4 linked regions of the Saccharomyces cerevisiae S288C genome follow. The gene in region 3 interacts genetically with the main gene of each other region. Each region holds a gene or a part of one and is shown on either strand. Other genes may lie near its edges.

Evidence for each region.
Region 1: mutations in GYP1 (region 3) and CSG2 together harm fitness more than expected from each alone (negative genetic interaction), as found in Saccharomyces cerevisiae (5 studies listed by BioGRID, with this or other methods).
Region 2: mutations in GYP1 (region 3) and ERG25 together harm fitness more than expected from each alone (negative genetic interaction), as found in Saccharomyces cerevisiae (5 studies listed by BioGRID).
Region 4: mutations in GYP1 (region 3) and CPR7 are lethal when combined (synthetic lethality), as found in Saccharomyces cerevisiae (5 studies listed by BioGRID, with this or other methods).

The regions. Positions count from the first base shown.
Region 1 is NC_001134.8:308,238-316,029, forward strand, and holds CSG2 (mannosylinositol phosphorylceramide synthase regulatory subunit), read right to left. Parts: upstream 2,077-7,792; coding exon 844-2,076; downstream 1-843. Other genes in the region: Cu-binding protein SCO1, read right to left, coding at 2,328-3,215; chitin synthase CHS2, read left to right, coding at 3,661-6,552; ATP3 (F1F0 ATP synthase subunit gamma), read left to right, coding at 7,338-7,792. UniProt on the Saccharomyces cerevisiae protein: Required for calcium regulation. May regulate calcium accumulation by a non-vacuole organelle. Also regulates the activity of CSH1 and SUR1 during mannosyl phosphorylinositol ceramide synthesis.
Region 2 is NC_001139.9:607,094-614,868, reverse strand, and holds ERG25 (methylsterol monooxygenase), read right to left. Parts: upstream 4,306-7,775; coding exon 3,376-4,305; downstream 1-3,375. Other genes in the region: ADE6 (phosphoribosylformylglycinamidine synthase), read left to right, coding at 1-2,980; septin SPR3, read right to left, coding at 5,768-7,306; PEF1 (Pef1p), read right to left, coding at 7,726-7,775.
Region 3 is NC_001147.6:455,407-463,851, forward strand, and holds GYP1 (GTPase-activating protein GYP1), read right to left. Parts: upstream 2,415-8,445; coding exon 501-2,414; downstream 1-500. Other genes in the region: VPS5 (sorting nexin 1), read left to right, coding at 1-389; NRT1 (nicotinamide riboside transporter), read right to left, coding at 4,074-5,870; YOR072W (uncharacterized protein), read left to right, coding at 6,096-6,410. UniProt on the Saccharomyces cerevisiae protein: GTPase-activating protein (GAP) that stimulates specifically the intrinsic GTPase activity of Ypt/Rab-type GTPases YPT1 and YPT7. Functions on the Golgi as a negative regulator of YPT1. Functions on the vacuole as a negative regulator of YPT7.
Region 4 is NC_001142.9:486,466-494,239, reverse strand, and holds CPR7 (peptidylprolyl isomerase CPR7), read right to left. Parts: upstream 3,160-7,774; coding exon 1,978-3,159; downstream 1-1,977. Other genes in the region: RAV1 (Rav1p), read left to right, coding at 1-1,862; Arf family guanine nucleotide exchange factor GEA1, read left to right, coding at 3,428-7,654. UniProt on the Saccharomyces cerevisiae protein: PPIases accelerate the folding of proteins. It catalyzes the cis-trans isomerization of proline imidic peptide bonds in oligopeptides. Plays a major role in negative regulation of the heat shock transcription factor (HSF).

The sequences.
Region 1 (7,792 bases), on a different chromosome or scaffold from region 3:
CTATCTTATCGTTAACTCTGGAAAAAGAAAAAGGAAAAAGAACGTCAGGGAACATGAGTATATATAGAAATGGTTTATTCTAGTTTTTTCCGTTTTTTCAGTAGATTTTTGCCTTTAAAAGAATAAATCCCACTACAAAAAGGTAAAATAAAAAATCTATTCACTGAACTTACTGATGAAATTTCCAAATGTGCCCCGTACATCGAACGATGTGACAGAGAAAAATACGAGTAGGTAAATAAGCCAAAAGGCAAGGGTGTCCTTTCTTAAGCATCGGTTAGGTTTGCGGGCGATCAGTAACTGAACAATGACACAAGATCAAGAACGTAATTTGAGATTTTTCAAGATGGTTTTTTTAGGTATCTATTAAAACTACTTTGATGATCAATACGGTATTTTTGTCGCATTATTTTCCAAGCGGAAGGAACCGTGTGTTCATTTTATGAATCTTGGTGTTGTATTCACAGCTACTTCTCCTAATGCCTTCGATGCATTTAGATAATTTTTGGAAACATTTTTTTTCTTGATGTATATTTTTTGTATTGTAGAAATCGCGCGTACTGTACTTGTATATCGCTTTATAAGCGCTTTTAATTGATTGTTCATGACGAGGATAGGCGGATAGGCGGAGGTATGCCTCTTAATATTTATAATAAAGCCCACCAAATGGCTTCTTCTTTTTAGAATATACAATATACAAATAAAAATAAAAAAATAGAAGAACATCCTAGTAATTGTCTTGAAAATAATCAAGATATTGATTGGGATTTTTTATTTAGGGAAACCAAATAATTGCATATGCTTGTTACATCATCATCAGTCATATAAAGTATGTTGTCCGTACTAATGGTGGTATTTACCTTCCCCGAGTGTTACTGATAGGACCAACAAACTTACCGTTAGCATTATGTATCCTATGACTTCCCATCTCACAATTGTGGTTTGCGTAGGTTCGCAAACCCACTCAGCTAACCCCATAAAGATAATAGCTCCCAGGTTGCACGTCGTCAAATACTCAGCAGGGGCCTTGCGATTCAACTCTAATATCGAAATCAAGCTCGGCAAGGAACCAAAGATAATCGAGCCTAGTAGAGAGAACCAAAAGCTCTTGTCATTATAGAACAACGAAATGGATTCCACAGACTCACGGGAGGGAAATTTAGGAATAAATGGCAAAAGTATTACCATGCCAATAATACCGATTAGGGCCATGTGGGTGCTCTGCTTAACCAAGACTACAGCAGAATTTTCGTTCTTGGAAATGTTACTGCAAAACCAACGGTTCCATAACACGGCAAAAGGACCCATAATCAAAGCACCAAGGCCGCAAATCAGAGCACCTTTCAACCTATCAAACAAGAATGGGTCAGAAAGTTCACCCGTGTTAGGGTTGACGGACAGCTTTCCGGCAAGCATGTCACAGGTAGCCTTCGTGTATGAGATGATCAAAATTCCAATGACCGCGTTCATCATGATGAGGAAATTACGGAAAACGTAGTTCTTCCTGGAGATTCCACAAACACCATATAGTAAAGTGACAATTTCGAAAATGGCAGTATTTTGCATCAAAGCAACATCAAATGCCGGTGACAATGACAAAGCCATGTTATAAGTCAAATCAGCGACAATCATTATGAGAGCCAGCACTGTTAGCTTAGCCACATATTTGAAGGTAGCCACGGATATGATTTTTTGCTTCTGCTGTTGGGCTGGAATCCGTGGTTGAGGATCATCCAACACGTGCGAGAACGTATCGACATCTTCGTTTGTCACAGACCCGCTGTTGTTGTTGTCAAACTGAGAATTCCTGTTCGAGTCTGAGTCAGAGACAAACATCGGTCTCATCTTCTCCCAAAGTCGAGATGCAGGCACCAAGAGCAGCCACGAAGCAAAATACATAAAGGTCAGATAGAAGGTTAATGAACTTGAGTTTCCGTTGTCGCCGTTAGTTTCAGGCGTTGCAATTGTACCATTGGGCCCCACGGAGATTTCCTTTTTAGATTGTATGTTAGACAAACATTTTGTTTGAATCACGTAGCCTATTACACTTGAAAACCAAAGTAGTGTGGTAGACATGACGCTGTATCTTTGTTTGTTATCGTGCTAACTCACCAGCTCAAGAGCGGATCTGTTCTGGAAGAAAATGGCCTACAAACATTTCTTTCACTTGATCTTCCCACGTTCACATAGCCTCCTTTAGAGTGAGAGAGCTTTTTTTTTTCTTGCGATACACCTTCGCCGGGTGATAGCCGATATTACAAGAACGGGTTATAGCGTTATAAGTATATATGTATATACAAGGAAGAAAGTAGCATATATTTACAATCTTATTTGAATAAGAAGGAGTACCATGCCTCCTTCTGCTTGGCGCGCTGCTCTGCAGGCACATAACTCTTAACGTGTTCCACGATCTTGTCCACGCCCGTTTTTTCATCATAATTTCTACCCAAAGCATCAACAAACTGTCCTTCAGGGTCCATGAGATAAAAGAAGATGGAATGGTCTACCAAATAATCTTGGCCCGGTTTGACGTTTGGAGGCGTAGAAAAGTATACTCTGTACTTCTTGCATGCGTTCTTCACCTCATCGAACGTCCCCGTCAAACCCAGGATGGAGGGATGAAAGTCGCTCAAATACTCTTTCAATACAGCAGGGGAGTCTCTTGCTGGATCACAAGTTATAAATAATGGCTGCAGAGTAATACCATACTTTGAAGAGAGTGTATTAAGCCATAGACCTAGCTTATCCAGTTCATCAGGACAGATGTCAGGACAGTTACTAAACCCAAAGTATATTATAGAAAACTTACCGAGAAGGTTTTTCTCCGTAAACTCATTGCCATACATATCCTCCAGATGGAAGGGTCCCCCAAGTGAAGGTTTACCGTATCCTCTGTTTGCTTCAGCCTCCTTCTGTGTTTCCAATCTGCGTTTCTCCCTGTTGAAGAAATAAGAAAGTGCCCCACCGACTGCTAGGAATAGAGCAATGGCCTTTCCCGTGGAAAACTCGATCGAGCCTTCTCGCACTTTGCCGTTATCCTTAATGGGAGTACCGCCCACAGGTACTCTGCTTAATGGTTTCTTGCCATTTGACTGCCATAAGCGCGTTACAGTAAAGAATCCCCTTTGAGTGAGCAATTTAGCGCCATTGCCACTTAATCTTGCGGCTGGCAATTGGACCAATCTTAGATTGGCACTTCTTGACAACTTCAGCATCTTTTCTACGTTTGCTGTTTTTTCTGTTTCCCTTGCCTTATACGAACATACGTTTCTAATGCCGATTATAAACACAATAGACACAATTATACTATTTTCTCACTTTTCTCTTCGGGAGATCGCTATTGATTATTATTCCCGTTTATTTCCTTCAATTTAGGGTCTGAAAAGAAGATAGTAGGGTTAGTTTTTTGGGGTTTAAAACCCTAGTATAAACCCCTATACTATTTGTTTATATATTTCCTATTTGAGTATGATAGCATCGATATTGAAATTTACAGAACTTCAATTTAGTTTCAATTGGGAATTCGAGGACTCTCCCTTGGGATGGCCCCAGTCTATTTAACTATCTTCCATAATATTACTGTTGATTTCGTGACTCAGAAGAGAAAACAGAGGAAGTTACATATAGACCCAAATAAAAACCAAAGAACCACATATAGAAATGACGAGAAACCCGTTTATGGTGGAACCTTCGAATGGCTCTCCTAATAGACGTGGTGCTTCAAACCTCTCCAAATTTTACGCAAACGCTAACAGCAACTCTCGGTGGGCTAATCCCAGTGAGGAGAGTTTGGAGGATAGCTATGACCAATCTAACGTTTTCCAAGGCCTTCCGGCATCTCCTTCGAGAGCTGCACTAAGATACTCCCCAGACCGTCGCCATAGAACTCAATTTTACCGCGATAGTGCCCATAACTCTCCAGTTGCTCCGAACAGGTATGCTGCTAATCTACAAGAGTCTCCCAAAAGAGCAGGCGAGGCTGTCATACATCTAAGTGAGGGGAGTAACCTTTACCCCCGCGATAATGCAGATCTACCGGTAGACCCCTACCATCTATCACCCCAGCAACAGCCCAGTAACAATCTGTTTGGAAGTGGCAGATTGTATTCTCAAAGCTCGAAATACACGATGTCTACTACTTCCACAACGGCTCCCTCTCTGGCAGAAGCAGACGATGAAAAGGAAAAATACCTCACTTCGACTACTTCCTATGATGATCAGTCTACAATTTTCTCTGCAGACACTTTCAATGAAACAAAATTTGAACTGAACCATCCAACAAGACAGCAGTATGTAAGACGTGCCAATTCTGAGAGTAAGAGAAGAATGGTCTCAGACTTGCCTCCCCCAAGCAAGAAGAAGGCACTATTGAAACTAGACAACCCGATACCAAAAGGTCTGTTGGATACTTTGCCTCGTAGGAACTCCCCTGAGTTTACGGAAATGAGATATACAGCCTGCACTGTGGAACCTGACGATTTTTTGAGAGAAGGTTACACTTTGAGATTCGCAGAGATGAACAGAGAATGTCAAATTGCCATTTGTATTACCATGTACAATGAAGATAAATATTCATTGGCAAGAACCATCCACTCCATTATGAAGAATGTTGCTCATCTTTGTAAGCGTGAAAAATCTCATGTTTGGGGCCCCAATGGCTGGAAGAAAGTCTCTGTAATTCTGATTAGTGACGGTAGAGCAAAAGTCAACCAAGGGTCTCTCGACTATTTAGCTGCTTTGGGTGTTTATCAAGAAGATATGGCCAAGGCGTCTGTGAATGGTGATCCGGTAAAAGCGCACATTTTTGAATTGACAACTCAGGTCTCTATCAACGCCGATCTGGATTATGTTTCAAAGGACATTGTTCCTGTGCAATTGGTTTTTTGTCTAAAAGAAGAAAATAAGAAAAAGATCAATTCCCATCGTTGGCTATTCAACGCGTTTTGTCCCGTTTTGCAACCTACTGTAGTTACTTTGGTTGATGTCGGTACACGTTTAAACAATACAGCAATTTACAGGTTATGGAAGGTTTTTGATATGGATTCAAATGTGGCTGGTGCGGCTGGTCAGATTAAGACTATGAAGGGGAAGTGGGGACTGAAACTTTTCAATCCATTAGTTGCATCGCAAAATTTTGAATATAAGATCTCGAATATTTTAGATAAACCATTAGAAAGTGTTTTTGGTTATATCTCTGTTCTTCCTGGTGCCCTGTCCGCATATAGGTATAGAGCCTTAAAAAATCATGAAGATGGCACTGGCCCTCTCAGATCGTATTTCCTTGGTGAAACTCAAGAAGGCAGAGACCATGATGTTTTCACTGCAAATATGTACTTGGCTGAAGATAGAATTCTTTGTTGGGAATTGGTCGCCAAGCGAGATGCAAAATGGGTTCTAAAATATGTTAAGGAAGCCACTGGTGAAACGGATGTTCCCGAAGACGTTTCTGAATTTATTTCTCAAAGAAGACGTTGGTTAAATGGTGCAATGTTTGCCGCAATTTATGCTCAATTGCATTTCTACCAAATTTGGAAAACTAAACATTCTGTTGTACGCAAGTTCTTTCTTCATGTTGAATTCCTTTATCAATTTATTCAGATGCTTTTTTCCTGGTTTTCTATTGCAAATTTCGTTCTTACCTTTTATTATTTAGCAGGATCAATGAATTTAGTTATTAAACATGGTGAGGCCTTATTCATTTTTTTTAAATACCTGATCTTTTGTGACTTGGCAAGTTTATTCATTATTTCCATGGGTAATAGACCCCAGGGCGCGAAACATTTATTCATTACCTCCATGGTTATACTGTCTATATGTGCCACATATTCTCTAATTTGTGGGTTTGTTTTTGCTTTCAAGTCGTTAGCTTCTGGAACGGAATCCCACAAAATATTTGTCGACATCGTTATCTCATTGCTCTCCACCTATGGCCTATACTTTTTCTCATCACTGATGTACCTAGATCCTTGGCACATGTTTACATCATCCATACAATACTTTTTGACACTTCCCGCCTTTACGTGTACTTTACAGATTTTTGCCTTCTGTAATACACACGACGTTTCCTGGGGTACTAAAGGTTCCACACAGGAGTCCAAGCAATTGTCCAAGGCCATTGTCGTTCAAGGTCCAGATGGGAAACAGATTGTGGAAACAGATTGGCCTCAGGAAGTTGATAAGAAGTTTTTGGAAATAAAAAGTCGTTTGAAAGAACCAGAATTTGAAGAATCAAGCGGCAATGAAAAACAATCCAAGAATGATTATTATAGAGATATAAGAACCAGAATTGTGATGATTTGGATGCTATCAAATCTAATACTGATCATGTCTATAATTCAAGTCTTTACACCACAAGATACTGACAATGGTTATTTGATATTCATTTTATGGTCTGTGGCCGCTTTAGCTGCCTTTAGGGTGGTTGGTTCCATGGCCTTTTTGTTCATGAAATACTTGCGTATAATAGTGAGTTACAGAAATAAAGTTGAAGGTAGCGGCTCATGGGAAGTCTCTAAATTAGACTTACCAAATGTTTTCCACAAAAAGGGCTAATGCCAGTATTTTTCAGCTAATTTCTCGTCATTCCCTCTTTTTTCTCATTCTGTTTTAGAATGTACAGGTTATGACAACCATTACCTTCTAGGATATTTTGACATTTCTCTCTTAGACTTTTTATATATAATATACATGTTTCAATACCAAATATAATGTAGCATAACATAATCTATCTTTTTACTCATAGACCTTTACTTTCCTCTCTAAAAGCCGTGTCGCAGTAACTGGTGACGCTAAAGTTCTCCGGCGTTTTTTTATGTATGAGCTGGGCATCAAGAGCTTTTGAGATTTTCCAAGTAGTAACTCATCTTTCTGAGTGTGCTATCAAATACATACTAAGGAGAATAAACTCTTGTTATTACGTATTCTTCATCCTTATGGGTAGAGAGCGCACTGTTTTAGTACATTTTCTAGACGTCGAAACGTAGAGCAATTGTCGATAAAACAAAAAAAAAGTAAGAAGATATATGAATAGGAGCTGTCGCTAGAACTAGTAAGTATATGATGGAGATATAATAAGTGAATTATTCGATATTTAATGAACGTTCTCATTTATTTGGAAGAAATGTTTATCACGTGATGGAGAACCAATGAGCGGCGAGTAACTACGCGAGGAACCCGGACCGCAATAACGATTAAAGAAGGCCCGGAAGGGAGATGCTTAAATGATTATCACTCAGTTAAAAAAGACAAATAAGAAACTATTGAGACTGAACCGTTTTGGTTAATTTCAGGTGGAAACAATTGAAGACGAGCAGTAAACATTATTTTATTTAGTAGTCATGTTGTCAAGAATTGTATCAAACAATGCAACACGCTCCGTAATGTGCCACCAAGCGCAAGTGGGTATTCTTTATAAGACTAACCCAGTGAGAACTTATGCTACTTTGAAAGAAGTGGAAATGCGTTTGAAATCTATCAAAAATATTGAGAAGATCACAAAAACTATGAAGATTGTTGCATCTACAAGATTGAGTAAAGCTGAAAAGGCTAAAATTTCCGCAAAGAAGATGGATGAAGCAGAGCAGTTGTTTTACAAGAACGCCGAAACCAAAAATTTGGATGTTGAGGCTACTGAAACAGGTGCTCCTAAAGAGTTGATTGTTGCTATCACCTCTGATAAGGGGTTGTGTGGTTCTATCCACTCTCAATTGGCTAAAGCTGTGAGAAGACATTTGAATGATCAACCAAACGCCGATATAGTCACTATTGGTGATAAAATTAAAATGCAGCTATT
Region 2 (7,775 bases), on a different chromosome or scaffold from region 3:
TAAGTGTGGTTTGAGTGGATTCTCTGTCAGCGACCTTTTGATACCAGGTAATGAACAACCTTGGGAGTTGAATATTGGTAAGCCTTACCATATTGCATCTGCATTAGATATTATGATTGAGGCTCCTTTGGGTTCAGCTGCATTTAACAATGAGTTTGGTAGACCTTGTATAAACGGTTACTTCAGAACTTTAACTACAAAGGTTTTGAATCACCAAGGGAAGGAGGAAATCAGAGGGTTCCACAAGCCAATTATGATTGCGGGTGGTTTCGGTACTGTTAGACCTCAATTTGCTTTGAAGAACACCCCAATAACTCCAGGCTCTTGTTTAATTGTACTTGGTGGTCAATCTATGCTGATTGGTTTAGGTGGTGGTGCTGCTTCTTCTGTAGCTTCCGGTGAAGGTTCCGCCGATTTGGATTTTGCTTCTGTACAAAGAGGGAACCCCGAAATGGAACGTCGTTGCCAACAAGTGATTGACGCTTGTGTTGCCTTAGGTAACAATAATCCTATCCAATCTATTCACGATGTTGGTGCTGGTGGGTTATCCAACGCTTTGCCAGAATTGGTTCATGACAATGACTTGGGTGCTAAATTCGATATTAGAAAGGTCCTCTCCTTAGAACCTGGTATGTCACCAATGGAAATTTGGTGTAATGAATCACAAGAACGTTATGTTCTTGGTGTTTCTCCTCAAGACTTATCCATTTTCGAGGAAATCTGTAAGAGAGAAAGAGCACCATTTGCTGTCGTCGGTCACGCAACCGCTGAACAAAAATTGATTGTAGAAGATCCTCTTTTGAAAACAACTCCAATTGATTTAGAAATGCCAATTTTATTTGGTAAGCCTCCAAAGATGTCAAGAGAAACCATAACTGAAGCACTAAATCTACCAGAGGCAAATTTGAGCGAAATTCCTTCCCTACAAGATGCTATTCAAAGAGTTCTAAACTTACCATCTGTTGGCTCAAAGTCATTTTTGATTACTATTGGTGACAGATCCGTCACAGGTCTAATTGATAGGGATCAATTTGTTGGTCCTTGGCAAGTACCTGTTGCGGATGTCGGTGTTACCGGTACCTCTTTGGGTGAGACAATAATTTCCACAGGTGAAGCCATGGCTATGGGTGAAAAACCAGTTAACGCCCTAATCTCCGCATCTGCTTCCGCTAAATTATCTGTGGCAGAATCTTTATTGAACATATTCGCTGCTGATGTGAAATCTTTAAATCATATCAAGCTATCTGCTAACTGGATGTCTCCAGCCTCTCATCAAGGTGAGGGTTCTAAGTTATATGAAGCCGTTCAAGCATTAGGTCTGGATTTATGTCCTGCATTAGGTGTTGCTATCCCTGTTGGTAAGGATTCCATGTCCATGAAGATGAAATGGGATGATAAGGAAGTTACTGCACCATTGTCATTGAATATCACAGCATTTGCACCAGTTTTCAACACTAGTAAAACGTGGACTCCATTGCTAAATAGAAACACAGATGATTCTGTCCTTGTCTTGGTTGATCTATCAGCTAAACAAGAGACTAAGTCACTAGGTGCCTCTGCTTTGTTGCAAGTTTACAACCAAGTTGGTAACAAGTCGCCTACTGTGTATGATAACGCCATTTTGAAGGGTTTCTTGGAAAGTTTAATCCAATTGCATCAACAAAAGGAGGATATAGTGCTTGCCTACCATGATAGGTCTGATGGTGGTCTACTAATCACTTTACTGGAAATGGCATTTGCTTCCAGATGCGGCTTAGAAATCAACATTGACGGTGGAGACCTAGAAAGTCAATTAACAAACCTATTCAATGAAGAATTAGGTGCAGTATTCCAGATTTCTGCTAAGAACTTGAGCAAGTTCGAAAAAATCTTGAACGAGAACGGAGTTGCTAAAGAATATATTTCTATTGTTGGTAAGCCATCCTTCCAAAGCCAGGAAATCAAGATTATTAACTCCACAACAAATGATGTAATTTACGCCAATTCGAGATCTGAATTGGAGCAAACTTGGAGTAAGACATCTTACGAAATGCAGAAATTGAGAGACAATCCAAAAACAGCCGAAGAAGAGTTTGCCAGTATCACGGACGATAGAGATCCCGGTTTGCAGTATGCCCTAACATACAACCCAGCCGATGATATGAAGATCGGATTAGAATTATCCAGTCAAAGGCCAAAGGTTGCTATCTTAAGAGAGCAAGGTGTGAACGGTCAAATGGAAATGGCATGGTGCTTCCAACAAGCTGGATTCAACTCAGTGGATGTCACTATGACAGATTTGCTAGAAGGTAGGTTCCATTTGGATGACTTCATCGGTCTTGCCGCATGTGGTGGTTTCTCTTATGGTGATGTCTTAGGTGCAGGTGCGGGTTGGGCTAAATCCGTATTGTATCACGAAGGTGTGCGCTCGCAATTTTCTAAGTTCTTCAATGAAAGACAAGATACATTTGCTTTTGGTGCTTGTAATGGTTGTCAATTCTTGAGTAGATTAAAAGATATCATACCCGGGTGTGAAAACTGGCCAAGTTTCGAAAGAAATGTTAGTGAACAATATGAAGCCCGTGTATGTATGGTGCAAATATCTCAAGAAAAGGACAATTCTAGCGAGGAATCTGTTTTCTTGAATGGCATGGCAGGATCCAAATTGCCAATTGCTGTCGCACATGGTGAAGGTAAAGCAACATTTTCTAAAAGCGCTGAACAACTGGAAAAGTTCGAAAAGGATGGTTTATGTTGTATAAGGTATGTGGACAACTACGGTAACGTCACCGAAAGGTTCCCCTTCAACCCCAATGGGTCGACCAATGGTATTGCCGGTATCAAGTCACCAAATGGTAGAGTGCTTGCCATGATGCCACATCCTGAAAGAGTTTGCAGATTGGAGGCCAATTCCTGGTATCCAGAGGGCAAATACGAAGAGTGGGGTGGATACGGTCCATGGATTAGATTATTCAGATCTGCCAGAAGATGGGTCGGTTGAAAGATTTTTGTAGTTTTTGTATATGTAGTTTTTAAGTTTGAATAATAATTAGAAAGAAGCTGTCTTTTATTTATAGCATTTAATAATGGGTTTGCTTGTTAAAAATTTATCATAAATAGTATGTATATATATATATATATATATGGATATGTATACGTGGTAATGAACGTGTATACATATATTTAAAAGATTGCAATATAGTTTTTAGAATTAACCTGAATTAATTTAAAAATCATATATTAAAATAAACAATTGTGAAGGTAAAAAGAAAGAGTTAGGGGAGGTCAAACAAAGTAAAAAAAAAAAAAAGGAAAAAAAGCGGTTCGAAATTTATTTCATTTTATACGTTTTTTTGTTGTTTTTCTTTTTTTTTTTTTTGAAGTATGTTTCTTCTCTTAGTTAGTCTTCTTTTGAGCATTGTTTTCAGCTCTCTTCTTCATTCTTTCTTCTCTGGAGGCCTTAGCTTCTGGACCAGATTCAGTGTCTAGACAGTAATCCCACCATCTGAAAGAGGAAGCGTAGTTACCAATAAAGTAGTGATGATGCAAATCGTGGTGTTCAGCGCCAGCCCAGAATGGCATGATCTTGTTCAAAGACCATGGGAAGTCATAACCAGAATGAGAGTCAACAGCTTGGAATAATCTTAGGGTGATCCATACACATAGAGTGAACAAGTGTAATTTACCAGTGTACATGACGTAAAGAATTGGCATACCAACGGTACCAAAACCCAAAGACAAAGTTTCAGCAGGATGAGCATATTCAGCAGAAAGACCGAATGGAGCAGCGTATCTGTGATGTTGCTTGTGAATGTACTTGTAGAAGACACCGTAGTGGAATAGACGGTGAGCCCAGTAATGCCATGTATCTTCCAAGACGAAGAATAGACCAATTTCTAGAGCCATTGTTTTCAAAGATGGGAATGGAACTTCGACAGTAATACCTAATTTTTCACACATTGGGTGGAAGGTCCAGATAGGGATGGCCTCGACCAAGAAATGAGATAGAAGAACGGATTTCAAACAGTATAGTTGTTCCTTAGCACTTGGAATCTTAGTTGGTTGTAACTTCCATCTTCTAAAGTATGGAATTTGGTCGATGATGAACCATGGCAAACATCTAAAGAAATACATAAATTCATGCAATAAAAAGAACATTAGACCGGTGGCCAAAACATCATTGTTCATGTAACTGTACCATGCGGCCCAGTATTTCTCCATGAAATTCAATTGAGGTTGGTAATGGGCGACATTTTGCAAAGTTTGTGAGTAGGTGCTTGCTTGGACTAGACCTGAAAGGGTAGCGTTGTTGAAAACGGCAGACATCTTTTCCTCTTTTTTTTATGGCTGTACTACTTTTCCTTAGTCCTCTATGCTACTATCTAAAGAGAAAAAGTTACAACTAATATAAAGATTTACTGGAAGGAAAGAAACGAAGAGAGAGAAAAAAGGGAGAGAAGAAGAGAAGAAGAAAAAAAAGAATAGATCCTCCTGTATTATATATTATATAGAAGTATGCATACACAGGCGTACGCATACAAGAAAATGTACATGCATAACGGATTAATCGTGTGTATATAGTTTAAACTGCGCAGAGAATGAATAATAATAATACGACCACAGCAGAGGCGAGGCAAGCAAGAAAAAAAAAATTGGTGGGAAAGCGATGCGATACGGTGGCAAAGGGCCTCTTCCTCGACGGTTTTGTGCCAGGTGCCTTGAGGTTGCTGACTGTTATCGGTCATTGTTAGTTGCTATTGTCCTAGTGCTAGTCGTTTACCGTATACGATCTCTGTGTCCCGTATACGAAGGGAGGCAGTGGTAGTGGCAGTGGCCGTTGCGGAGCTGGCTAAACGACATCTGGGCGTAAACGACACCCGATAACTGGCTCTGCTCTTTCCTGCGAGATGGTTCTATCGGACCAAGGCCCAAACGGGTTTAAACGGCTGCCCTCCGCACCCGCACGTGACTACACCGGGTAACGAATGGATTGCGTAATATACCGATTTTTACTTTTTACACTTTTTTGTTTCCTATACGACGCGGACGAAGAGAAAGTCTTCTGCGCCAAGGCCGAAAAGAAAAATTTGAAGAAAACATTCTCAGATGCGAATCTACTTTTACATCATCTTCTACGTAGGCCCTTTTTTAGTTCCTTTTTTTTTTCTCCCTCGGTCTGTTTAATCATAGTAAAATCAGATATTGTCAAAAATTGTATTCATTGAATGGAGAGTACTTAAACTTCACATCCTAACATTAGAGATGCCAGAAAAAACATATAGGTATAAGTGAAATCATCATTATGATAAACGAGACGGATGAAAGGAGAAAAAACTGAAAAGAAAAAAAGGGCGGATTGACAATTCAAGAAAAAGGCAAAAAGTAAAGGAAGGTAACATCACTTGATATCGCACCCTTCTTTGCATTGCCTTGTGGTTACCGTACCACTCTTGCTTATGATTTTTTTTTCTTTTTGCGCGCGCTAGGCTGAAATGTAGAGGTTCAAGGTATGATAACAGCGGACAAAGGTATATGATGTCGCGCATTTGATGCCTTAAATACAATTTTTTTTTTTCCCTCCTCCGTCGAAAAAACGCTGTGAAGAATAAAAAAAAATTGTATTTTGTATTACCCGGATTTACTTTAGTCTCACATTGTATTGTTAGGGTTTTGCTACTTATGGTAAAACTGCCGCTAAAAAAATATTCATTTCTATCCTAATTGTATTTTTATTATGTAGAGCAAAGCTTGCGCGAAATTATTGGCTTTTTTTTTTTTTTAATTAATACTACCTTTTGATGTGAACGTTTACTAAAGTAGCACTATCTGTGGAATGGCTGTTGGAACTTTTTCCGATTAACAGCTTGTATTCCAAGTCCTGACATTCCAGTTGTAAGTTTTCCAACTTGTGATTCAATTGTTCAATCTCTTGGTTAAAATTCTCTTGTTCCATGAATAGGCTCTTTTTCCAGTCTCGAAATTTTGAAATTTCTCTGTTGGACAGCTCGTTGAATTTTTTCTTAGCTTCTAATTGTCTAGTTATAAATTCAGGATCCCATTCTGTAGCCACCTTATCCATGACCGTTTTATTAATTATTTCATAGCACTTGTAATTTTTGAGTTTGTTTTCCTCGATTTCATCGAAGTTCATTTCTTCCTCCAAAAATTTCCTTTGTTCTTCCGTTATGTCAACACTTTTCGTTGTTAAGCAATCTCTGGCCTTTAATAGCCTAGTTCTTAGCATTTCAGATCTGCATTTTTCATAATAATCCTCGGTACTTTCTACAAGATCAATTAAATTCCAATCAAAAATCGTCTTTTGCAAGATTTTGAAGTCACAGTACTTTTCATTTTCAATGTCAACAGCGCCCCATTTGTATTGTCTTCCTTTAACTTTTTCGCCCTTTTCATTAAAAATGTACTCATTAGATGCAATTATACTGAATGGATATTTTTGAAAAATATCTTGTGTTGCATTCAAAACTTCATCGCCGAAAAAGAAACATACAGGGATATCTTGTACTCTTATTATTTCTCTAACTTGTGTTTTGAAGTTTTTCAATTCCTCTTTCGTTAGCAAATCTGATTTAGCAATAACCGGGATTAAATTCACTCTCTTCGCTAATTTTTTCATTGTTACGACGTCTAAAGTATCAATTCCCTTATTTGAAGGTCTCAGAAAGTACAAACAACAATGGACTCTATTATCAACCATTTTTGTCCTATCAGGTTGTTCTTCTTGGAAAATGTACGATCTTATTTCTTCATCAATATAGTTAACCATTGTCCTCCACGTAAATGCATTATCCATATTGTTACCAAAACCAGGTGTATCGATGACGTTGAAATTAAGGTGTGTTCCATCTCCTTCTACAATGCTTTTATAACGAATAATAGGTTTGTTTTCTTTGATGTCATCATCAATTAAAGAAGTAGAAAATAAGGAATTGATAAACGTGGTTTTACCCAATCCACTTTGACCCGCCACCATCAGCGTAAAATCAATTCCATTTTTGGCATTCAACAACTCACGTTGACGTGGTAAGTTTTTGATACCGATGTCTTGGCCGTGTGAATTGGTGTTTATTTCTTGTGCTTTCTTGTTATCTAACAATGGAAGGTCCCTGTTCCTGCATTTACCGTTAACAAAAGAGGATGACCTCTGTCTTCTGTGTTTCAGTTCAGGGCTTTTCGGAGGATGTGAATCGACGGCGTACTGTCCTTGGGAACTTTGTCTACGTATTTTCACTTCCTCAGCGAATCCAGAGACTATCTTGGGAAATTCGACAGGACAGTCTGTTGACAACCGACTCCCTTTTGACTTCATAATAAAAATTCAATGACGCAAAAGGAATTTTAGGTTTTTATTATTTATTTATTTATTTCTGTTAATTGATCCTTTTCTTTCCACTACCAACAACAAAAAAGGGGGGAAAAAGATGTATAATCTAAAAGACACTAATCTGCTCTTGATATCCTTATTATGTAATGGAATAACTCATATAAATGTAAAATAGAACTTCAAATTAATATTATAATGATAGTCGAGGTCAGACACACTTATAATACATTAAGTAAAGAAAAAAAAATGTCTGTCATCGAGGTCTCTTTTGTGTCGCTAACAAAACATCACTAAATACGAAGACACTTTGCATGGGAAGGATGCAGCAAATGGCAAACTAACGGGCCATTGATTGGTTTACCTCTTCTATTTGTATTACGACCAGAAAGAACGAATGGTTTTCATCAATGAGGTAGGAAACGACCTAAATATAATGTAGCATCGATAAAATCTT
Region 3 (8,445 bases):
CGATGGGTGTGATGCTGGACGACTATATTAGGTCATTGGCAAGCGTAAAAGCAATTTTCAATCAGAGATCCAAATTGGGGTATTTCTTGGTAGTAATAGAAAATGACATGAATAAGAAACACTCACAATTGGGCAAATTGGGTCAAAATATTCATTCAGAAAAATTCAGAGAAATGAGAAAGGAATTTCAAACATTGGAGAGAAGGTATAACCTTACAAAAAAACAATGGCAAGCGGTAGGAGATAAAATAAAAGATGAATTCCAAGGTTTCTCTACTGATAAAATTCGGGAATTCCGAAACGGCATGGAAATATCACTAGAAGCGGCCATTGAATCTCAAAAAGAATGCATCGAGCTTTGGGAGACATTCTACCAAACCAATCTTTAGATGATCTGTATACAATAACTTTATGTGTCACGTTCCTCAGGATTTATGAATTAGGAGATTTTTGTTTTATATTATTACATACTATACAGTAAGTAAAATGAATAGGTCCGTTTACAGCCAGTGCGACGTAGCATCTTTGTAAAGAGATTGCCAAATAAAGGCTTCGCTCAGAAGCATTTCAATATCCGTTTCAGTCCAGTCCTTTGTAGGAGGGTTCTGTAAGAAAGTTATAGTTTCTTGGAAATCCATTTCCATTAGCTGGTCACTCCACTTGATGAGGAATGCAGCACAAACAAACACATGAAACTCATTCAACGAAGACTGTCTCATTTTTCCACTGTCTTCAACAGCATTGTTTGGTGTCATATTAGAAAGAGCTGTGGTGGGAGATTGGAAATCTTTTGTTGGTGTAACAAAACTTGCCACTCGAGGTTCTGTTGGAGTAACAGGAGGTTTAATGTCATTGGACGACATAGAATAAGAAGAAGTGACCTCTTGTGAAGTTTCAGATAAATATGTGTCCCACATCCTTATTACTGTACCCATTTGAAATTCTCTCATCAAAAGGCAATTCATCCATCTGAATGCAAACTGTATAAACTCCACATGTTCATTTTGAAAATGGTTATATAGATCAGCATCAATTCGTTTCACTAGCTGACTCAAATTCTTCACTTGTCTTAATATGCCTGGTTGTCCGTGAATATAGTTATCGGTAATTTGTTCGAGCAATTTGGTAAGACACCAAAACGTGTCCGCTTCTAAATCTGTAATCTGTTCATCTACCATATAAGTAGAGGGGTCCTTTATCTCTACATCATCTATTTGTGAAGGCGGCAGATATTCGGTAAGAAAAGTCTCGAAAAATGGTGTAACTAAATCATTAATACCTTGCACATATCCGCTAGCAGGATGCCTGATTGCCCAAAGATATAGTATTCGTTGTAAACTGTTCTGTACGGATTTGAACTGGTAGAGGGGAATGTGGGGATTTGTTCTCGGTATATCTATCTCTATCTGATGCCAAGTTGGGATATCTCTTGAGTGCTGGTCAGAAAAGGTATGTTTCAGACTATCCCTATATTCTTTCCTCTTCCTTTGTAAGAAACCCTCCTGTCTCTTGGTGTTCACAGGCAAATAACCTATTAATAATTTCCAAACAACAGGCCTGTGTATTTTTGGGATACCATTCCAACTGATCTGGCGCAGATCCTGTTGATTTATGATTGTCTTATCTTTCAAAATATTGTCAAATTTAGAAATGCGCTGGATGATGGAGTTTAATTCTTGAACATCCCGTTCGTTTTCGATTTCCAACTGAGTTTTCTTGGAATCATTTGTTTTCTCTTTTTGCAGCTGTGGTAATTGAGGGTATGTAAAAGAGGAGGAAGAATTCCGTACTGCGGAGGTCCCCATATTCGAAATCGAATTGATGGAAGAAGAAGTGGATTTTCGCGACAAAGTTCTCGTTGGAGCTACAGGTGTACCAAATCCACCGTTAGTAAGTATAGGAATAGGCATATTATAATCGTCAATAACAGCACTCCAATCCTCATCTAAGTCTTTGAAATATCGATCACCCTTTTTGTTAGGCTCTGTACTGTTACTGCAATTGTTGCCTACACTACCACTACTGCTATGGCGGGGTTGTTGATGGTGGTGATGACGCTGGTGATGCTGACGTAAGAGTAAAGCAGGCCGGGGACTTTCGTTACTTGCAGTGCTTAGAGTGGGGTTTACATATCGTAGAGGTGAATAGGAATTCGAGGTACGTCTAGTGCTTGCTTGTTGCTTTGCCATAGCTTCAAAATTACCGTCACTGGTTCTCCGATCTCTATCTGCCGAGGAAGCATAACCCGAGGGTAAACTAGTAGATTCAGTAGTATTCATTTTGTATAACGATGGCTTCTTGGAGGAAGAAGCCGACGATATCCTCCAAGATTTCATCAGGGAAGTTACTAAACTGGAACTGTCCGAATTATGGTCCCGTTCGTGCATTTCCTTTGCAGCGGATCTCACACCCATTATATGGTTACTTTTATTAAGTGGTCGGTATTGGTGGTTGTTGTTGTTATTTGTATCCTTGATCTACTCTCCAATAATAGTTATAAAAATAGAAAGAAAACAAAACAATTAACAGCAGGACAAAAGCCAAACACTATAGCAATCTGGCTATATGATATGCAGAAAATAGTGATTACTGTGCTCTTTGCTGCATCATGCATCATATGTTTGGCATTCTGTCCTGTCAGATGAATGGGCGAAACAATTCGGGGAGCTTTGTTGCGACTTGGTACCCGGCAAGCCGCGACCTATATTTTGCATTAAACGAGTTCATCGTGGATTTATCGCCATGAGCCTTAGCTTATCAAGCCTCTCACAGACAATTAAGCAATGAAAAAGGTATACCATCGGCGCAGAATGGTTAACTAGTGGGTTCATACTGCTGTGTTATAGATTGTTACCTAAGTGATCACCAAAAAAAAGTGCAAAAAGGAAAAAAAAATAAGAGACAGGTAACTTCCACAAGCTTATTCTTCCAAAAATCAATCTTATCTTCATGCCAGCAATAGTTGCGTGCTGAGCTCAACAGTGCCCAACCCTTGTGCACCGTAGAATTGTAGAATACAAATACATAAATAAGTGTGTTCCCGAAGGACTAAGGAATGACGGCAGAGGAGTCTTGTGACCGCCCTGCTGCAAAACTTGGCAAGGACAGAAATTAAGTAATAGATACGCACAACCTTGGAGCACCAAGAAATGGCTGCAAAAGTAAATCTATAGTATTTCAAGCTGAGATATGATAATATGTTCAAAGGGCTAAAGTCTCATGAAACAGCGTCACTACAAGTCACATAAAGTTCGTACAGCAAGTCTATGCATGCTTTCCTCAAAAGAACTACCCAAATATAAACACATATACAAAAATTCAGATTTTACATTTCAGGTTTCCATAATATGTTAAAAGCTAGATCTTACATAGTGTCGGGAACAGGTCATTCTAAAAAAAGTAAAATAAAATAAAAGGGTTTCAAAGATCCATACTTCTCTACATTCTCTGACTTTTTAAAACTGTGTACTGGCGACCAATCGACAAATCTGCAACCCCAGCTTCATAAGCTTTCTCTCCCACCAGCAAAGCCTGGACCTCCCTGGTTCTAATAATGAGCGACTGAAGTTTTCCAAAAGAAACCTTCACTAAACATGTTATGCTCCTCAATCACGCGATGAAATAAAGGCCTATTTTTTGATCCAACGCCTTTGAAAATTTCCTTATGGCTGGGTGGGGTACCTACCATGAACATGTTAAAGGTAAGTGGTGGCATATTATGGAGTTACGCCCGTATACCAGAGTAATAATGTTGCCGCCGGATAGGCATGGCGCCCCCACCGGATTCTCTTGCTATATGGATGGCATAATTAGCTTATGAAAGGATTGGTAAGAATATGTCTTCTAGCAAGAAAATACTAAGAACCAATAGTTCCTTTTTTTATAAAATTATTGAGCCATACACAATAATGCCGATATTTGTCACCATAGACATACTTGACAGTAAAGTATTTGCAGCTGAGGATCGATCTGGTAGTATTCCCAAATTGTAAGATCTGTACAGATTTTCAAATGAAGCGTTGAAGTTTCCTCTTTGTATATTTGAGATCTTCATTTTATCGGATTCTTTGTCATCAGACAACTTGTTGAGTGGTACTAAAGGAGTGCTTTTCATCATCCTTTTGGTGAACGATTTCAAATACGTTAGTGTTTTCTGAGCTAGTTTTGATCAATTCAGGTGATTCGTTATCAGAACTCTCAGGTTTGTATTCGTGTCCAGTTGTGTAGCATTCGCCTAACGTGTAAGCACGGATTTCTTCCTCAGAAATTTCACTGTATGGAATCATGCCCTTCTTTCTCGCTTCTTCGTCGGTAAATGCACCATAGTAATCTTTGTCATCATGTCTAACAGTAATTTTGAATGGGAAGAAGACACATAGCCCCCAGTAAACGAAAAAAGAAATCAAAAAGGAGAAGAAAGAATCACCATAAAAGAATTTAACAATACCTGAGTCGTGGAAATAGTTATTGTTGACTTCCCAAGCGATACCAGGTAGACCGGGAGCCATACCACACACCCAGGCAACGATAGCTCTCCAGTTGACACCCTTGGTAAAATAGTATTCACCCTTTAGAATAAAGGCATTAGTAATGGAATATTGCCTCTTCCTGATCAGAAAGTTATCACAGATCATGACAGCAATAATAGGAGTCATGACAACACCGAAAGAACTCATGACAGTTAAGAAAGTAGAAGAAGAGTTGTAGAAGTTCCATGGCAAACAAGCCCAGGAGATACATGCGCAAAAAAGAGCACCTCTCTTGATATCGACGTATTTGGGCAACAAACCGGCCATATCCATACCAGTGGCAAACCCACAGTTGGAGATGGTGGAGGACATTTGAGACATGGTAAAGCAAAGACCACAGAAGAAGGCACCTGCGCGAGCGCCTGCAGAATAGTTGTTTGTCAACCAATAATCGAATATATCCATGGGCATCCAAAATTGTTTACCGTATAATTTGTCGCAGGTGGAGGCACTAATGACACCGAAGATTGGGACCAAGGTTGCTGGGATTAGTAATGCACAGACGCTACCGGTCCAGATAGCCAAATTGGAGGAACCGAATCTTGAATAGTCACTTTGGTTGGTGGAACCTGGAGAAATGGAACCGAACCAGTATGAAATCATGTAAACCCAAGCCCATGCTCTTTTAGAACCAGTAACGGTAGATTTTGTGGAGGTAAACAATTCACCGACACCATGGGCATTCTTAGTCAAGTAAATCACTATACCCAGCATGGCAAAGCAAGTAGCTACACATGACCAAATTAAAAGGTAGTTCATATGGTAGGGTTTCATGAAATAGCAGAGCGCGGTGAGGACGTGGAAAATAATGAAGCCGACCAACTGCTTGGTGGTCATGGCAACACTTGGGGACAAAGTATTGGGCAGGTGCAGATAGTGGTGGGACCAGGAATCTAATATCATGTTGATAGATAGACCACCCAACCAAGCGTTGGAACCATAATTGACAATACTCATCAAAATTCTAATGATGATACCGAAGGCTGAACCGTAAATGCCAAAAACGAATCTTTGGGCCAAGGTGAAACCGATTTTCCAATCATAACCGGGGTAAGAGTTGGCCATAGTGAAAATAATGGTCAAGACATTACCGAGAAGAAACGAAACAATGGTCTCTGGGTAACTTAGGCCGACACTTAGTGCAGCAGAACCACTCATCCATGTACCTGCTGTAAAGGACACAGCGCCCCAGTACGCCAAATTAGACCAGAACCCCCATGTTTGATTTGCAGACTTGATAGGTTGCAAATCAGGGTTCCTCAGAAAATTCACGGCAGTCCTATTTTTGGCAGGAATTTCTAAATATCTCAAAAACTTAGAGACTATACTACTGAAGCTCATGATGATACAGGTGCTGAAGTCCTTTTTTTGATAGTTATAATGGGGATATCAGTACAATAAAGAATAATATAAATTCTGCAATAGGAAATAATATAGGTAATTGTTCTTGATAATTCTGGAGTTTATAAGATTTTAACTCTATTTATGAGAATAGAGAAGGAAAATTAAAACTACAATAGCGAATGCAAATTTTTTTCCCCGAAGAACAAATAGCGGTAGCAACACATGCTGACGAAAGTTGTGTTCCTCTTTTTTTGGAGCAGGTCTGACTCAACTAAAAAGCTAGCTGCATGCAACCACGCTACATTGGCACACTATATCCTGACGCCCGCGCTATACTCTGACGCCTGCGCTATATATTCTGACGTCTACTCCATAACTATTATAGTAGTGGCCACTGTTGTTCGTAACCCGGCGCGGTGTTCGCTCCGAGCACGAAAATTCTGTCGTTTATTCTCTTCCTTCTTCCAGTTCCATTACTTAAAGGAGCTGTTTTATTTCATTCGAAAGCCCGATGACAAATTCTCCTCTTTCATATAAATTAATAAGGCGGTCAGCAGGAAACTCCTATTGCCAACCGTCTTGCGAACCGACCGGTCGCTGCGCGCGATCATGCGTCCACGCGCTTCTGTGGCGACGGACGACTACAGCAAGACATTACTCTGGTCATTTACGCCTGGCGCCCAGAATGTACAAGCGCAGACGGCCAGATCATATGATGAAACGGAATAGTCCCAGCTATACCGGTGATCACAAGACGTAGTTACATAGATGCCTTGGCGCCGACACGATATTTCTTGTCGTTCTGTGCCAGTAATTCCTTTTCTTCTCGACTATGCCTCTAAGACGTCAGTCTTGGAAGCATAGTCTTCGTAAAAAAATTTTTTTTTTGAGGTTTTTGCTTCCATTTCTTTAGACTGAACTAATTTATTTTTTTTATTATTATTCAGTAATTTTTATATATTTATTTATGGACTTATTGAGGTGCTTTGGGGGTGATGACGTCCCCAGTGAGGCCCCCAGGGTAGTGGACCGCACCTAACTTCCCATTCATGATGTGATTACGCATTTTAATCTTGTCTATATGTTCTACAATGATGGCGTCAGTGCCAATGCCGTTCGCATCTATGAGGGAGATGAACTCGCTCTCGGCCGTTGGGTTTGAGGCGGTGCCGTAGTGTCCGCCTTCATTCCGGCTTCGCGGTGTCTACGAGGCATTCATTTTATGTCGCGGCAACTACTTGATATTTTCCACCAGGCACAAGGAGAAACATGGAGAAATTATATATAGAGAACTATGAGTCCTGAGGCGGCCGTTCAGTAGCTCAGATTGCCAGGGTTAAAAATTGCTCCTTGGCATCCTATGTGCTGCATACTAAAAAATTTTTAGCCACGTAGTTGTATACTTTTGTTTCCGGGGATGAGAAATTAGCCCCAGGTCCCAGACTTACAACAAGGTAGATAGGGGGGCGCACCTTGTCGTCATGAGACCCATTTCGTAGAAACTTGAATTTGTTGTTGTTACTTCTGTTTTCAAGTAGGAGTAACGAGGCCGCGTACAATTTGCCAGTGGATTTGTCGCCTGCAGCAGCGGCCGCGACGCGACGGGTTGATCCAATTTTGTGCTTGCTTCTTCAACTGAATATTTTGAGTCCACTGCATGTGGAAAACAGAGTTTTCAGTCAGTCTTGTATGTATATTATTCTCTTTAGCTCCAGAATTTCTGCTGTGCTTAGTAACTTCTTGCCGTTGAGCTGATTTTAGTAGTATAATTTTTTTGCAACTCTACTGATATCAAGAGCAGTGATATGTGCTTTAATGTTGGCATTTCTTTCAAGCCAATCACCTTCTACCATTGGTCACGGTCTCAGTATATTTGTCGTAAATATTAGTACTCTAGTCTGGTCAGAGAAGTGGCCTTTCTCCCACCAAAACGTTGTTGTTCTGTCTTTTTTCTTATTATTTACTATTTATTGGATTTATCAAAAATTCCTCAGGAACAAGATTTAATATTCTTGAAAATCCTGTATGTCATAAATCATGAGCTTGGAAATTGACACGAAATATCGGATGGCACTACTTGATGATCGTTTTTATCACTACCGCTGTACTTTAATTTCATAATTTATTTGGTGACATTTCTCTTGAAGATCTGGCAAGATGTACACGGGGAGCTCCTTCAACTGTTAAAAATATTTTTAAAAGTAAAGACGTCACCATACTTTTTCACCATAAGAACAATTACTGGTCCAGATTAAGAACGGTTGGAGTAAGAGCCAATTATCATTCATTGACTGGTATTTCCTTTTGAACTATATTATCATATAATAGGTAAGAAGATGGCAAAAAGGAAGGAGAAACAGTGGTCTGATGTGATAGGGAAGTAAATGTCAACAAATACCTAACAGTACTATCTGATCGAACAAAGAAATTCCACCAAACTGTCAGTAAATTTATTTAATGAGCAGCAAGGACATAGTGCACAACTAGCACTCTACTTCGATTGGGTTATTGAGGAAGAGGATAGTATGCCCGGAATTTTCAAGCATTTACATGATTATGGTTTCATTGGGGT
Region 4 (7,774 bases), on a different chromosome or scaffold from region 3:
CAAGAAAAATTTTATCAAATGATATTCTCCATTTAAGTAGTGTTTTAAATGGTCCACTTCCAGTTTATCATCCACAATTTTTGATTCAAGCCATTTATGCGAATAAGTTACAACTTGTCAAGGAGCTGTTATTAAGATTGTTTTTAGCGTTAAGAAAATTAGACTTTGAATCGCAAGATGTATCTAATTTGGATTCCAATCTAGGAATGGATCCATTAAAGTACTTTATTGCTAAAGATAGAGACTATCCGGTCGAATCTTTCCCTGATCCATACCCCTGTTTCAATAAGACAGTGTCTCTAGCACTTACTGAGCAACTAACGAAAACAACTTTGCCTTATCTAACCCGCCACCAGCAGATCACGCTTATCACAGTCATTGAAGCAGTGGATGAAGTCACCAAAAATGAGAATATAGTAGATTACAACGGTGTTAGGTTCTTGTTGGGCGTGAAGTTATTTTTATCACATAAAAATATTCAAAAAAGCATATTGATGAGGGATGTGTCTTGGGCATTGCACTCAGACAATAAAGAAATATTATTATCTTCTATTGACCGCCACATAACCTCATGGAATCGCGCTCGAGAATATAGAATAGCCTATTGGATTAAGGAGCAGGACTTGGTGAAGAAATTCGAGGATATTGCAAAATATGAATTTTCCAAAGATGATAAGAGGGATCCAAGCCGTTGTGCTATTTTTTATCTTGCGTTGAAGAAAAAACAGATACTATTGAGCTTGTGGAAGATGGCTATTGGTCATCCTGAGCAGCAAAAGATGGTTAGATTTATCAGTAATGATTTCACTGTACCGAGGTGGAGAACGGCAGCACTCAAAAATGCTTTTGTTCTGCTAAGTAAGCATAGATATATGGATGCAGCAGTTTTCTTTCTCTTAACTGACTCTCTAAAAGATTGTGTCAACGTTCTTTGCAAGCAAGTGCATGATATGGATTTGGCAATCGGTGTATGTCGTGTTTATGAAGGTGATAATGGACCCGTGTTGGGAGAGCTATTGACAGCGCAAATGCTACCTGAAACAATAAAGGAGAATGATAGATGGAAAGCAAGTTTCATTTACTGGAAATTGAGAAAGCAGGAAGTGGCTATTAAAGCTTTGCTGACTGCTCCGATTGATTTAGAAAACAACTCAAGCATTGTTGATAAGGAAGTCTGTGTTAACAGATCATTCCTTGTTGAAGACCCTGCTTTGCTCTATCTATACAATCACCTGAGAAACAGAAACTTGAAGTATTTCATTGGATCTCTAAATGTTGAAGCAAAAATCGAGTGTACTCTGATCTTAAGAGTTACTGATATTCTTTGCCGAATGGGTTGCAATTACCTGGCGGTTTCACTTGTGAAGAATTGGAAGTTCATCGAAAGAAATTCCATACCAGTTCAGAAGCTATTAAAGAGCCCCACCAAGGATAGAGCATATTCTGCTATTGGCGCCATGGCGTCTGAACCAATTTCTACTGCTAGGATGAGGCCCAGTCTTTTTGATAAGTTTGGCTCGCCAAGTGCTTCAGATATAGAGTCACCTAATCCAAAGTTACCAAATAGCTTATTAGACGACTTCTTGCAACCACCACCAAATAGCACTTCTTCAAATTCCCTCGCTCAAAGTTCTTCTTCTGCACCTAGAAGTATACTGGATGAGTTCGTCTCTCCTTCATATTCTCAGCATAAAGAGAATTTAACTCCAAAAGCGCCAAACGACTCTGTGGGTGAAACAGACAACTCAGAAAATAGGAAAGATAAACTCTCTAAGGACATATTAGATGATCTTTCATCACAAAAGCCACAGAAGCCAAAAAAATCTGCTATTACCAAGAACTTACTAGATGACTTTGTATGATATCATATTTTTTATCAAATAAATGGATTTATAAATAAAAATAATTACATCTTATTAATGTAGTGTTTTCATATTGGGTTATTTAATCTCAAATTTCAGCCTTACAAGTAACTAATTAGGAGAAAAACTTTGATATATTCTTTCTTGTCTTTTCCTTATTCTCTTCTATGAGCCTATTGACATATTCTATTCTTTGTTCTATAACTTCGTCATCGGGATTTTTCTCTTTACAAAAAATATAATCTTGTAAAGCTTCGTCTAGTCTCTTTTTTTTTAAGTAACTGTTACCTCTTCTATAATAAGCCTTTGCTTGATCTCTGTTAGGAACGTTATCCATCTCCAATAAATACGTAGCATACATGATAGCATCATCGTATCTTTCCAGATTAAAGAGCACCAAAGATAAATTTAGGTAAATTTTCATCTTTAGGTTAATAAATTGGATGTTTCTTTCTTTGTCTACGTCGGGTTCAGGCATGTATTCATTGATATAATTTAAAGATTTTCTGTATTTGAAAAAGGCATTAGAGTAATCCTTTTTCTTAAATAAGAGCGTCCCAGATTCTTTGATTATATTAGCAGCCTCAAGAGCCTTACCAAAATCATCGTCACCGAAATGTGTATCATCGTCTGGATATTCTTCGTATACGTCACCGCCAATTTGGTCATTAGAAGCGTTGTAAAGCGGGACACCCATAGTTTTTTCCCACACTCCACAGTCGCTGATTCTAACGTCTGATTCAGGGACTCCATCAGAATCTACCCTGCAGTTTTCTATAGTGCGAACCACTGATTTTCCATGAACCACCTGCCCAAAAATAGAATGCTTGCCGTTCAAATGAGGTGCGGCGTATGTAGTTATGAAAAACTGGGAATTGTTCGTATTTGGAGAACCTAAATTGGCCATACCTAAGGTAAAGGGTTCTACAAACTCTCCCAAGTTTTCGTCTTCAAAATTCCCGTAACAGAAAGATTCATCATCGGTTTTCACTTCCTCTTTATCAGCGTAAATTGAACATCCACCTTTTCCAACAGACGATGAAGAGGAATCCTTTTGTGTCCCAAAGACAATGTCACCTGCCTGGATCATAAAATTCTTAACGACTCTATGAAAACCATTTCCCTTATAGCTCAGGTACTGTTGATCCTTCAAAGGACTCTTAACATCACCAGCGCATAACTTATAAAAATTCTCTGTTGTTTTAGGAGCCTTCTCACGAAAAAGTTTGCAGACAATACGACCAATTGGTTTTTTATCAATGGAGATGTCTAAATATACAAGGGGATCTTGAATCATCGCGTTGGATGTAGGTTGTTGCTGCCGAACACCTTTCAGAATAACGACTTTTTTTTTCTTTGCAGTTTCTCATTTTTATGATTTTCTAATCACTTCATCACTCAGCGCATTGGAAAAAAAACAATATATAGATCTCTTTGTTTACATGTTGGAACTAAGACCTTTTAATATGGATACTTTACACAGAGAATTGAACCATCTTAGTTAAGTTAATTCGCAACTTTGGTAAGAAGCGCCCAGGTTTAACTAATACGGCTTCATATACAAAATGCACGACGTGCCAATGGAAACTGTTTTGGCCGTGAACCCAGCTACGATGATTGTCAAAGAGTGCATCAATCTTTGTTCTGCCATGAACAAGCAGTCCAGAGATAAATCACAAACAAGTGTGGCCGCGTTGCTGGGCGGAGGTAGTGATATATTCTTGAGTCAAAGTGATTCGTTTGTTGACAGCTTCCACAATTTGCCTACTTCTAGCTATCATGATCCTCTGATATCTGGTTTAGTACAGCTGCGGCTAAAAATTAACGACTTGAAGGGTTTAGATTCATTAAACGCCTTGGAACTTTTGAAACCATTTTTAGAAATAGTCAGCGCTAGTTCAGTATCGGGTTATACTACTTCTCTGGCTCTGGACTCGTTGCAGAAAGTTTTTACACTAAAAATCATAAACAAAACATTTAATGATATTCAAATTGCCGTTAGGGAAACCGTTGTTGCGCTTACACATTGTAGATTTGAAGCTTCAAAGCAAATTTCGGACGACTCTGTTTTATTAAAAGTTGTAACATTACTACGCGATATTATAACCTCTTCCTTTGGAGACTATCTCTCCGATACTATAATCTACGATGTTTTACAAACGACACTTTCCTTGGCATGTAATACGCAGAGAAGCGAGGTTTTGAGGAAAACGGCTGAAGTTACAATTGCAGGGATAACCGTTAAACTATTTACAAAGTTGAAGTTACTAGATCCACCTACAAAAACAGAAAAATATATCAATGATGAAAGTTACACCGACAATAATTTGAAGGATGACATTATAGGTACGACTACCTCTGATAACGATTTGAGTAGCACTGATGATGACAGTGCTGTTGCAGACGATAATAAAAATGAGAAGCCAGTCCAACAGGTCATAAGGGAACAGGAAAATGATGAGGAAACGGCTGAGAAAGCCGAAAATGTCGAGCCAAATTACGGAATAACAGTTATAAAGGATTATCTTGGATTATTGTTATCACTGGTTATGCCAGAGAATAGAATGAAGCACACAACTTCGGCCATGAAATTATCTCTACAGTTAATCAATGCAGCCATTGAAATATCCGGTGACAAATTTCCTCTATATCCCCGGTTATTCAGCTTAATTTCTGATCCAATATTTAAAAGTGTTTTATTCATTATACAAAGTTCTACCCAGTATTCTCTTTTGCAAGCAACTTTACAATTATTCACGAGTTTGGTTGTGATATTGGGTGATTATTTGCCTATGCAGATTGAACTGACTTTAAGGAGAATATTCGAAATTCTAGAGGATACCACAATCAGTGGTGACGTTAGTAAGCAAAAACCACCTGCAATCAGGGAATTAATTATTGAACAACTTTCAATACTGTGGATTCACTCTCCCGCTTTCTTTTTGCAACTTTTTGTAAATTTCGATTGTAATTTGGATAGGTCGGATCTTTCGATTGACTTTATAAAAGAGCTAACTAAATTTTCTTTACCAGCGGCGGCCGTTAATACCTCTAACAACATTCCTCCAATTTGCCTAGAAGGTGTACTTTCGCTTATTGAAAATATATACAATGATCTGCAGAGATTTGATAGGGCAGAATTCGTAAAAAATCAGAAAGAAATTGATATTTTGAAACAGAGAGACAGAAAGACTGAATTCATATTATGCGTTGAAACATTTAATGAAAAGGCAAAGAAAGGCATTCAAATGTTAATTGAAAAAGGATTCATTGATTCGGATTCTAATAGAGACATTGCTTCATTTTTGTTTCTCAATAACGGACGTTTAAATAAGAAAACCATCGGTCTATTACTTTGTGATCCGAAAAAAACTTCATTGTTAAAAGAATTTATAGATCTATTCGATTTTAAAGGGTTAAGGGTTGATGAAGCGATCAGAATTTTGCTGACGAAATTCAGATTACCAGGGGAATCTCAACAGATTGAAAGAATCGTTGAAGCATTTTCATCAAAATATTCTGCTGATCAAAGCAATGATAAAGTGGAGTTAGAGGATAAAAAAGCAGGAAAAAATGGCTCAGAGTCAATGACAGAAGATGACATCATTCATGTACAGCCTGATGCAGACTCTGTGTTTGTGTTAAGTTATTCGATAATCATGTTAAATACCGATTCACATAACCCGCAGGTTAAAGACCATATGACTTTTGATGACTACTCTAACAATTTACGAGGATGCTACAATGGAAAAGATTTTCCTCGTTGGTATTTGCATAAAATTTACACGTCCATCAAAGTTAAGGAAATAGTAATGCCTGAAGAACATCATGGAAATGAAAGGTGGTTTGAAGATGCCTGGAATAACTTAATATCCTCAACATCTGTGATGACAGAGATGCAAAGAGATTTCACAAACCCTATTTCTAAGTTAGCGCAAATAGACATACTTCAGTATGAGAAAGCAATTTTCTCAAATGTTAGAGATATTATCCTGAAGACTTTATTCAAAATATTCACAGTTGCTTCCAGTGATCAAATATCATTACGTATCTTGGACGCCATTAGTAAGTGTACATTTATCAACTATTACTTTTCTTTTGACCAGTCATATAATGATACTGTACTTCATCTGGGAGAAATGACAACATTGGCACAAAGTAGCGCAAAAGCGGTGGAGCTAGATGTTGACAGTATTCCTTTGGTCGAGATATTCGTCGAAGACACTGGGTCGAAGATATCCGTTAGTAACCAGAGTATAAGACTTGGACAAAACTTTAAGGCTCAGTTATGTACCGTATTGTACTTTCAAATCATTAAAGAAATAAGTGATCCTAGCATTGTTTCTACCAGACTATGGAACCAGATTGTGCAACTCATTTTGAAATTATTCGAGAATTTATTGATGGAACCTAATTTACCATTTTTTACAAACTTTCATTCACTCTTGAAACTTCCTGAACTACCATTGCCAGATCCAGATATATCGATCCGCAAGGCAAAGATGAGCAGAAGCCTTCTGTCTACTTTCGCCTCTTACTTGAAAGGCGATGAAGAACCTTCGGAAGAAGACATCGATTTTTCCATTAAAGCATTTGAGTGCGTTAAGGCTAGCCATCCTCTCAGTTCAGTCTTTGAGAACAATCAACTCGTCAGTCCTAAGATGATTGAAACTCTTCTCTCTTCACTTGTGATTGAAAAAACGAGTGAAAATTCGCCCTATTTCGAACAAGAACTTCTCTTTTTGTTGGAAATATCCATTATATTAATATCAGAGGCTTCTTATGGACAAGAATTTGGAGCACTAATTGCTGATCATATGATTAATATTTCGAATTTAGATGGCCTTTCCAAGGAGGCTATTGCAAGACTTGCCTCGTATAAAATGTTTTTGGTTTCGAGATTTGATAATCCACGGGACATTTTAAGTGATTTAATAGAACACGACTTTTTGGTAAAAAATGAAATCTTCAATACTAAATATTATGAAAGTGAATGGGGGAAGCAAGTAATAAATGATCTGTTTACACATCTCAATGACGTAAAATACAATGAGCGGGCTCTCAAAAATGTAAAATTTTGGAATTTTTTAAGGATATTAATATCAGCCAAAGACCGCCAATTTGCCGTCTACACATTTTTGGAAAAATACATTCAAAATGGTGATATCTTTGTAGATGATGGGAACTTTATGAACATATTAAGTCTGCTTGATGAAATGTCATGTGCAGGTGCCGTTGGCACAAAATGGGAACAAAATTATGAAAATTCAGTCGAGGATGGGTGTGAAGCACCTGAATCCAATCCATACCGTTCTATTATTGATCTTTCTAGTCGTTCCATTAATATAACTGCAGACCTACTTTCGACTGTTGGGAGGAGTAATTCAGCACTCAACAAGAATGAGATTATAGCTGCTATTCAAGGTCTCGCCCATCAATGCCTCAATCCCTGTGACGAACTAGGTATGCAAGCATTGCAAGCATTAGAGAACATTCTGTTATCTCGAGCAAGTCAACTACGTACGGAAAAAGTTGCGGTGGATAACCTACTAGAGACAGGATTATTACCGATTTTTGAGTTGGATGAAATCCAAGATGTCAAGATGAAACGAATTACTAGCATTTTATCCGTTCTTTCTAAAATCTTCTTGGGTCAACTTGTGGAAGGCGTAACAAGTAACGAAACTTTTTTGAGAGTGCTTAACGTATTTAACAAGTATGTAGATGATCCTACGGTGGAAAGGCAGTTGCAAGAGTTGATTATTTCTAAGAGGGAAATCGAGAAGGAGTAGACCAACGATAATGTAACTATACCAAGAAACTTAGTATGATGGAATTTTTTCAAGGAGTCGTAAATTAGATTTTCGCAGGTAATAATGCGATATATAAGCAATCTCATTTAAATATCGACG